Xenopus tropicalis: one gene and its partner. The protein of the gene in region 2 purifies or fractionates together with the protein of the main gene of each other region. This does not show direct contact. Links are inferred from orthologs where the notes say so. Each region holds a gene or a part of one and is shown on either strand. Other genes may lie near its edges. The genes, in order: pfdn1 and pfdn4.

The links.
Region 1: the proteins of pfdn4 (region 2) and pfdn1 purify together in Homo sapiens (affinity purification with mass spectrometry; 5 studies listed by BioGRID and IntAct, counting the BioPlex papers as one, with this or other methods). This does not show direct contact. The link is inferred for Xenopus tropicalis from reciprocal best matches to the Homo sapiens genes PFDN4 and PFDN1.

Annotation. Positions count from the first base shown.
Region 1 is NC_030679.2:31,787,962-31,792,563, reverse strand, and holds the start of pfdn1 (prefoldin subunit 1), read right to left. Parts: upstream 3,066-4,602; 5' UTR 2,969-3,065; coding exon 2,936-2,968; intron 1,707-2,935; coding exon 1,540-1,706; intron 1-1,539. UniProt on the Homo sapiens protein: Binds specifically to cytosolic chaperonin (c-CPN) and transfers target proteins to it. Binds to nascent polypeptide chain and promotes folding in an environment in which there are many competing pathways for nonnative proteins.
Region 2 is NC_030686.2:34,366,996-34,371,380, forward strand, and holds the start of pfdn4 (prefoldin subunit 4), read right to left. Parts: upstream 2,806-4,385; 5' UTR 2,802-2,805; coding exon 2,790-2,801; intron 1-2,789. UniProt on the Homo sapiens protein: Binds specifically to cytosolic chaperonin (c-CPN) and transfers target proteins to it. Binds to nascent polypeptide chain and promotes folding in an environment in which there are many competing pathways for nonnative proteins.

The DNA of each region.
Region 1 (4,602 bases), on a different chromosome or scaffold from region 2:
TTACCTAAGGTGGGCAATATTGGCCTGATCCAATTGTTTGGCCCTAGGCCCCTAGAGCTAAATGAGTGCATCAAAATGACGGGGACAGGCCGTTGCGACAAGAAACATTAACAAGCCAACGCATTCCTCAATTCGATGGGAAACTCAAACCTAGCCCGATCAAAAACTTCCCGATTTTCTGCCACATATCGGTCAGGTTGGCCCATATGAGGGCACCATATACAAGCAGATAAGCTGCCAAATCGGTCTGAAGGGACTGACTGAGGAGCTTAAATCAATGACAGGCGAATTTAGAACTTTGCCCCCCCCCCCCCCCAGCTCGCACTGCTCCGTGCCCACCCCTCCTGTAACGAGCGCACACTGACTGGAAGAGTAAGCGACGGCTATACTGCACCCACTCCCCCCCCGAGCGAGTGCAAAATAGCGGCTGCTCTCTCTGACTTCTGGCAGTTCTCCCAGTCAACTGGGGCCCGAAGTAAGGGGAAACAGACAAACAAAAGAGTTCTGTGCCCTAGGCTGGTGCTTGACTTAAATCTGCCTATGTATGGCCTATTCCAATGAAGTTGCTGTTCAGAACCCTCTGTAGAGGGCTATTGCACAAGTGCATTCAAGCGCATTCAACTAAATTTTAATATATATGGACTTCCCAGCTGCAGATAAGCATGTTCCCTGAGATCAATGGATTACCTAAACTATAAAGTTCCACTTATACTAGTGACTATAACGCCCTCCTAAATGTAGACTTTCTGTTCTAAAGGCATACGGAACATTTAAAGCATCTGAAATACTAATGCATTTTTTTTGGCCTTTAATGCTTTCCACCTTTAGAAATGTGTTAATATTGAATCATTCGCCTATGAATAAGTACTTTCTATTCTCCACAGCAATGGTTATGTAAGAAAACCAAAAAGTTCTTGGTTTTTAACAATAGCCAGTCTATAAATACAGTCATTGGCACAGTCAAATGGGGATTACATAGGAACACAGTTAACGATTTTCAGTATGTGCGTGGCAGCCTATATCCATGTACTTTGATTGGTTTGTCATTTGGGTGGGTATAAATATGTAACCTGCTAAGAACCCATTACAGCCTGTGTATGGAAGATGAGGAACTGTTCCCTTCATTCCCTATGAATACAAGGAACAACAGAAAGGCATCCATAGAGTATATGGTCCCTTGTATTTTTTCTGTCTTTTGGCCCTCGAAGGGATCGGTAGGTCTGTGCAGTGTCTGACTGGCCCACCAGGATACAAGGAAAACTCCCGGTGGCCCAAGTGTCAGTGGGCCCTCCTGCTCACCCAACCATTTGCCTTGTATGCGTATACCATGGCCATTACTCAATCCTATATGAAAAGAAACTGAAGAAATGGAGGAAAGGATAGATAATATTATGTAAAACTGCGTAATTAAGAGATTAAAGAAATTGAGTGAACAGAGAAGGGGAGAGTGGGCCGAAGGTCTACTTTTCTTTACAATTTACACTTAAAAAGACAAGTTAATGCATGACTGTATGATTAAAGCAAAACAGCATTACTTACATTCTTCCTACTCCTTCATACATAGGCGTTGAATCAGACAGGTTCATAATTTCTGCATTGGTAAGATATGCATGCTTCTTTGTTCTATTTAGCTGCTCAATTTGTAGATCTGCAAGTTTAACTTTCTGCTGGGTATCAATAACTTTGGCTTGAAGCTCTGTGAAAGCCTGCAATACAAAACATGGTTTTAAACAATTTGTATCTAAGTGCTGTCCTCGCTAATGCTTTCTAGCCACTGCCAATCTCTACATCTGAGTTTCACCCAAGATTGTGTAAGCAGGTAATATTTTTAATATTTTAGAAACTATCCAGTTTTTAAACTACTCTGCTTGTAAAAGTGCATCCTTTGCAAATGTCAGTCAAGCAGTCTCACATTACTCATAAACAGGCTGATATGTTGTCAACTTGGTCTGAATGGGCCCCTGTATGGCCCACTTGAGGGCCTATTTTTCTAAAAACCCAGCGAGAAGCTCAGTTAGAGAGAAATTTGGTGTGAAAATGGGTATTCCGGGAGCCCTTCCTGAATAGCTGATACAACATTTCCATACACCTTGTTATGAACTAACTGGGCTCCAAGGTGGGCTTGAACTGAAAAAGTCTGTCAAGCAAACCACAGATGTAGGACACAGGGGCATGTTTAGTAAGATTGGAGATAAATATCACTGGCTATGTTGCCCATAGCAACCAATCAGGAATTAGATTTGAACAGTCACCTACAAGTTAGAAATGAAAATCAAATATCTGATTGGTTGCTATGGGCAACATCACCAGTGATATTTATCTCCAATCTTACTAAACACTTAAGCCCCCAAATTTTAGGTGTAAGCAAAGATTTAACAGCAATGTTTTTGCGTTCTAAAGACTGTTTTAATTGCAAATAAACAATGCACTGGGAGATAGTGCCTTCCAAAAGGATGAATCTTACATTAATAGTAAATATACTTTATTAAATTTCCCTTCTTTATGTATTTGGAAAAAAACAAGTGTTCGTTTATAGAACTATGGGTTTATAGAGTGTGAGTATGTATGTATGTATGTATGTGTGTGTATGTATATGTATATGTATATGTATATATATGTATATATATATATATATATATATATATATATATATATATATATATATATATATATATATATATACACACACACAAATCAAATGATATCAAAATTCTTTACTACAAATACAGTTCCCTACTAGAAATACAAAAACGACTACATTCGCATTCCACCGAGCGTATGCACTAGCTGCCTGGCCGCACTCCAGCCAAAAGCACATTCATCCTGCAGGCACCGTGAATTCACCAGCATCTGAATTCTTATATAAACATACACTTACATGAAAACACGTACATGATAAAAATCATTAGTATAAATGAAATACAATTATTATTACCTTCTTCAGCTCTAGATCCACAGGGGTAGCCATATTAAAGCCGGGCACATGCGCAACGCGGCGGCGAGGAAACCATACGCTATACCGCCGTCATCGCAAGCAGCCTTGTGATTGGCTCTTGGTGCTTTACTGGCAATTCCAATTGGCAGCTGCTAAGGTGAAGCTGGGCGCATTGGTGGGCGTTCTTGGGAAACGCCCAGCGTATAGTTGCTGGAGGATTGGTTGAGTTGTGGCTTAGCAGCGAGAGCTCTTACTGTTTAAAGATATTTGAGCCATGGTTGCTAGTAGTTTGTTTTGCCACAGAAGTTATGTTTTGTGTAGAGTGAACCAAGGGTGTAACGTGTGATGTAACATATAAACAAATATGTGTGCGTGATTTACACACAACGTGTTAAACCGGCAGTGACACAGTGGCTGGGGAGTTATATGTAGAAATATATGGGGAAGGGTTGTAATTCGATTCGCACCCAATAGGATTGTTATGAGTTTCTAGACTGTTTATCCCATATGTTTCTGGAATCTTGAATTAGACTGTATTTTGTAAGCAGTTACAAACGCCATAAATTGAAATCATGGCTGAAAATGGGGCAACGTTAAAGAAATATTTCTTATTTTGGGAGATAGTTCTAAAAGCCCAGCCTGAAGGTGATCTTGCTCAGACAAGATCCCCTGTGCATGATTTAGCTCATGGGTGCATGGGCCATATTTATGTAGGGCAGCGCTAGGGGTGCCTATATTAAAAAGAAAAAAAGTGTAGCTGTATACGAGGGGGGCGAGGTCAGAAGTCTGGTGCTTACGGCTGCACTGGACAGCCCTAGCAGCTGGTAAAACACTAAAGATGACCACTGAATGGACTAACACAGGAATCACTTGTCAGTGCACTTGGGGGTTGACACCTGTCTAGTTTTGAACTAAACAGCCACTTTTTCCCTAGGGCCATAAACATAATTGGCACCCATGTAGGCCTCATCAACATGCCAGTGGGATTTTTAGGGCACTGCCACACAGCAGATTCTCGGCCTGCAAGTTAACTGCAGAATCTGCCCCATACAGCAGTGCCCTTAAACCAATTTCTTCTTGGCAGGGTACACAAATAATTTCTTTTGTGCACACTTTTTAACAAAGAAGTAGGGCTGAAATTTTGTGAATTATGTTATGGGTTTCTGTACCAGCCCAAGGCACAAACAGCCCTTTTGCAGGGAAGATCTGTGCCCCCAAAGATGCCCTCCAGTAGCCCCCCCCCCATCTTCTTTTCTGCTGATTCCCTGCACATGCTCTGTGTTGCAGTCACTTACTTGAGCTTAGGGACCCACTCACAATATACTGTATATACAGAATATAAATGTAACAGTGAAAGGCTGATTAGTAATTCATTTACATTACATGACAGATCTGAAACCAGGGCAATTGCATCAAAATTGAATAATTAGCCCTGTAGCATCAGTTTATATGAAAGACAACACTCATTTTCTGCTTGATATTTTGCAACAATCCCTAAGCTTAGCTGCTCAGAGCCAACTGAGCATGTGCGCCGTCCCGGACAGTTCTAACAGAATCCAAGATGGGGAGCTCCTGTGACAACTGTAAAGACTTTTGTCATTACTACTATAGCAATGCTGAAACTTTAAGCCAGTGCAGTCATTTTATTATACAATATATGGCATTTC
Region 2 (4,385 bases):
AACAGGACAAGTCATTACCCTCCAGACAGGGGAGGCGCTACTCAGGACTGTAGGAAACCTATGGTTCTGGTGCCTACGCACAAAGGCCTTTTTTTCTCTGTATGTATCAGTGTGAGGATCTACTGACAGTCTGTGTATTGATAACTGCCATAGAGACTATTCCATTTATTTATAAAATTAGCATTAGCGATGACTTAAGTGACGAGAGCAAAGGATTCTGCCTCATTAAGGAGTTTTCCTCATTAACGAAAATTATATTAATCATATTCATTTAGCGGGAGCAAATTACTGATGTTACTGTAACCAGCTGACCTCTCAGGACATCATTAAAAAGGCAAATTGCTACAGGTTATTTTGCTGCTTGTCACTGTCTCAATCAATTGACTTTTTTCCTTTATTTTTTCCCCACAATGGAAATTAAGGATAGGATCTCAATGCTGGCAAAACCTCAGTCACTAGAGCAACTATATGAACTGCTGCCTCACCAGGGCCAGATTCTAAACTGGGCAACCCGAGGCCACACCACCCCCCGGCAACTTGATAGGCCTTGTCCCCCATAAGCACGTGTGCGCACCCACCCACTGTTTTGTTTTATTTTGTGCCGCCCTGGGCCTAGGTCTTTGTGGCCTCACAAATGCTGATCTGTCTCTCAATACAGGGCAAGCTTCTATAGAATTAAATATATATAATAATGTGAACCAAATCATAATGCACTGCTGGCCTTTGAGTCATAGCCACAGGATTACTAAAGTGGGGTAACTTTGGGGAATATACAATCATTCACATCGCAGCCAGCACCCCTGTAGAGTTAATTTAATTTCCAAGCACAGGAACAGACACACCCAATGGGCAGGTATAGTGAGACAGTAAGGGGAGCTGGCAATAAGCATGGCATTGCCGTGTTCCTGGTCTCATTAATATTCCACTTATGATGCTGATTTTGAGTGCTGCCAGTTTGGGTTCCTTCCAGTTGGGTATTGGTTTCCAGCTCAGGTCAGTGCTTGAGATCTAATAACCAGGGTCTTTCTGACCAGTGGCAGAAACGAATTAAAACACAATCAGCAGGGCAGCAAAGGAGGTAGGCCTGTCAATTTTTATATAACTGTGGATACTTGTAACCGTAACTCGCTGTATAATCCCAGCCCCAACAATGTGAGCCATTCCCACATCATTTGTCTCACACCCCCTTCCCCTTTTAGACTGGAAGCTCTCTAACTCCTATTTCAGCCAGCATTTCTATATAATCTGTATTAGTGGTGGGTGGGTCACATAAGCTATGATCATACCTGTTATTAATAATGAATACACCTGCCAGCATGAAAGCCCCCATGCCCTGTTTATGCCCACAGCAGAGAACCCCAGGGGGCAGGACACAGAGGGTCCACATGAATAAAACAAGGCAATTAAATCATTCCCCCTGGCAAATGATACTCACATTTCTATTCTCTTAGGCCTGAAACCATTACTCCTATTATTCACAGAGCTGATTAGTCCTACAACTCCAAGCACTGACCAGCAACTCTAGTAAATATCTGCAGTTAAACTGGAAATAAAAATAATAAATAGAAATAAAGGTATGAGATGATCCCTTATCCGGAAACCCATTATCCAGAAAGCCCCGGATTACGGAAAGCCCGTCTCCCATAGACTCCATTTTCATCAAATAATTCAGAATTTTAAAACTGATTTCCTTTTTCTCTGTAATAATAAAACAGTACCTTGTAATTAATCCCAACTAAGATATAATTACCCCTTATTGGGGGCAGAACAGCCCTATTGGGTTTATTTAATGGTTAAATGATTCCCTTTTCTCTGTAATAATAAAACAGTACCTGTACTTGATCCCAACTAAGATATAATTACCCCTTATTGGGGGCAGAACAGTCCTATTGGGTTTATTTAATGGTTAAATGATTCCCTTTTCTCTGTAATAATAAAACAGTACCTGTACTTGATCCCAACTAAGATATAATTACCCCTTATTGGGGGCAGAACAGCCCTATTGGGTTTATTTCATGGTTAAATGATTCCCTTTTCTCTGTAATAATAAAACAGTACCTGTACTTGATCCCAACTAAGATATAATTCATCCTTATTGGGGGCAAAACAATCCCATTAGGTTTAATTAATGTTTAATTGATTTTTAGTAGACTTAAGGTATGGAGATCCAATGTACGACCCCTTATCCGGAATACCCTTGGTCCTGAGCATTCTGGATAATGGGTCCTATACCTGTACAATTCTACCTACACACTACAATTACAGCTCAAGCGCTCAGGGTTGTATCAGTGACTTACTGGACAGACTATGAAGGCCCAAACTATATGTGACTGAGGATCTGCTGTTGGGAAGGTTTAATAGAATCCTGACAGACATGATGGCCTAACAGAAGTACACAGGCCCTTATAATAATTACTGGCCCAAGGATCAAACCATTAAAGAAGCCTATAGGGGTGGCCTAATCAGGCAGAGCTATATCTGTACTGCAGACTAAGAGAGTTGGCCGTTTGACACATGCCCAGTGTAAGGCTGGCCCCTCACCCCTAATAATCCCCCTGTGAATAGCTCATTTGGCATGGCAACACAGAAAGCAGCACAGTCTGCAGCACATCCCTTAATTATTTCTTTACAGAATGTATCCTATTACACCCCAATCATTTGCCTAATGCCCCCTATTCTCCCATGGCGATTTCCCCCCATCCAGCACCACCTTTGTATCGCACCCAGTTACCGATATTCCCTGTAACACCCCCAAATTCCCCCACGCCCGCCGCAACATGCAGCATTACCGCTTTCTTCATGGTGGCCGCCATCTTGGGATAGAACCAACTACCGGGCGGGGGGAGGAGCGTAACGCAACCTGCTCTTACTTAATAAAGCTAACCAGTGAAAAAGAAGTACCGGGTCAGAGAACGATCGCACAATCAAGCCTTAAATTCGTGGCGCTTGCAATATCACAACACATAACGATTGTAATACGGTCATCTGCATTTTACGCAATGGTACAGTCCAACTTACGCAGAATCCAACTTGACAGCGAGAGCAGGAAGTGTGCGACGCGCTAAATGGCCACTAGATGGTGCAAGAGGATGGGATCCTGAGTGACTGGCGTGATAAACTGGGCGAAGTGCTTAGTATCAGTTATTGAACTGTTCTCCGGGTGTTATAGTACAGGTATAGGACCCGTTATCCAGAATGCTCGGGACCAAGGGTATTCCGGATAAGGGGTCTTTCTGTAATTTGGATCTCCATGCCTTAAGTCTACTAAAGAATCAATAAAACATTAATTAAACCCTATGGGATTGTTTTTCATCCAATAATGATTATTTATATCTTAGCTGGGATCAGTTACAAAGTACTGTTTTATTACTACAGAGAAAAAGGAAATCAGTTTTAAAATTCTGAATTATTTGATTGAAATGGAGTCTATAGGCGACGGTCTTTCCGTAATTCGGAGCTTTCTGGATAACGGGTTTCCGGATAAGGGATCCCATACCTGTACTACAAAAACCAACGTGCAAAATATTGTGTAGCATCATTGTATATGGTTTATCTTATCAAGTTTAATGTCTGTACTATAAGGACAATTGCCCCCTCCATATGTCACGATCTTCATCGGGACATTTGGCCAGTGGACTGGGGGGGGGGGTGAATTTTGGTTGTAACTTGTAATTATTGGCCGGCATGTTGGTCTGAGTTCTGTTAATTCTCTTTTGTGAAGTTTTTAATAAAAACACATAAAAACCCTGAGTCTGCAGCCTTGTGCCTTTATATGGTCACAGAACCCCTCAGTGACTGCTAATATCCTTATCATTTACAGTAGGGGGTACATTATCCCTTATAATACATGAGTGATACTCAGAGTTCCCTGTATAACTCAGCCTGCAGCCTTGTGCCTTTATATGGGCACAGAACCCCTCAGTGACTTCTAATATCCTTATCATTTACAGTAGGGGGTACATTATCCCTTATAATACATGAGTGATACTCAGAGTTCCCTGTATAACTCAGCCTGCAGTGTTGTACCTTTATATGGTCACAGAACCCCTCAGTGACTTCTAATATCCTTATCATTTACACTAGGGGGGTACATTATTCCTAGATCATATACTTGATCATATTTTCTGCTTGATTATAACAATATAGCTTAGAGTAAAACAATATTATTGACTTCATTCTGGAATCACTTTCCCTGATATTAAACTTTCCTGCCCCTCTGTGCTCATCATGCACAGTATTGGAACATCAGACATGTAACATTGTACAGCAGTCATTTTTTTCTGTTGCCAGGGATGAAGAAATCCAGACTTTACGAGAAATCCATTTGTGGTGCTTAATCGCCTGTATGAGAAATGTTCCAGAAAGGTCAGTCTATGAGACCCCCA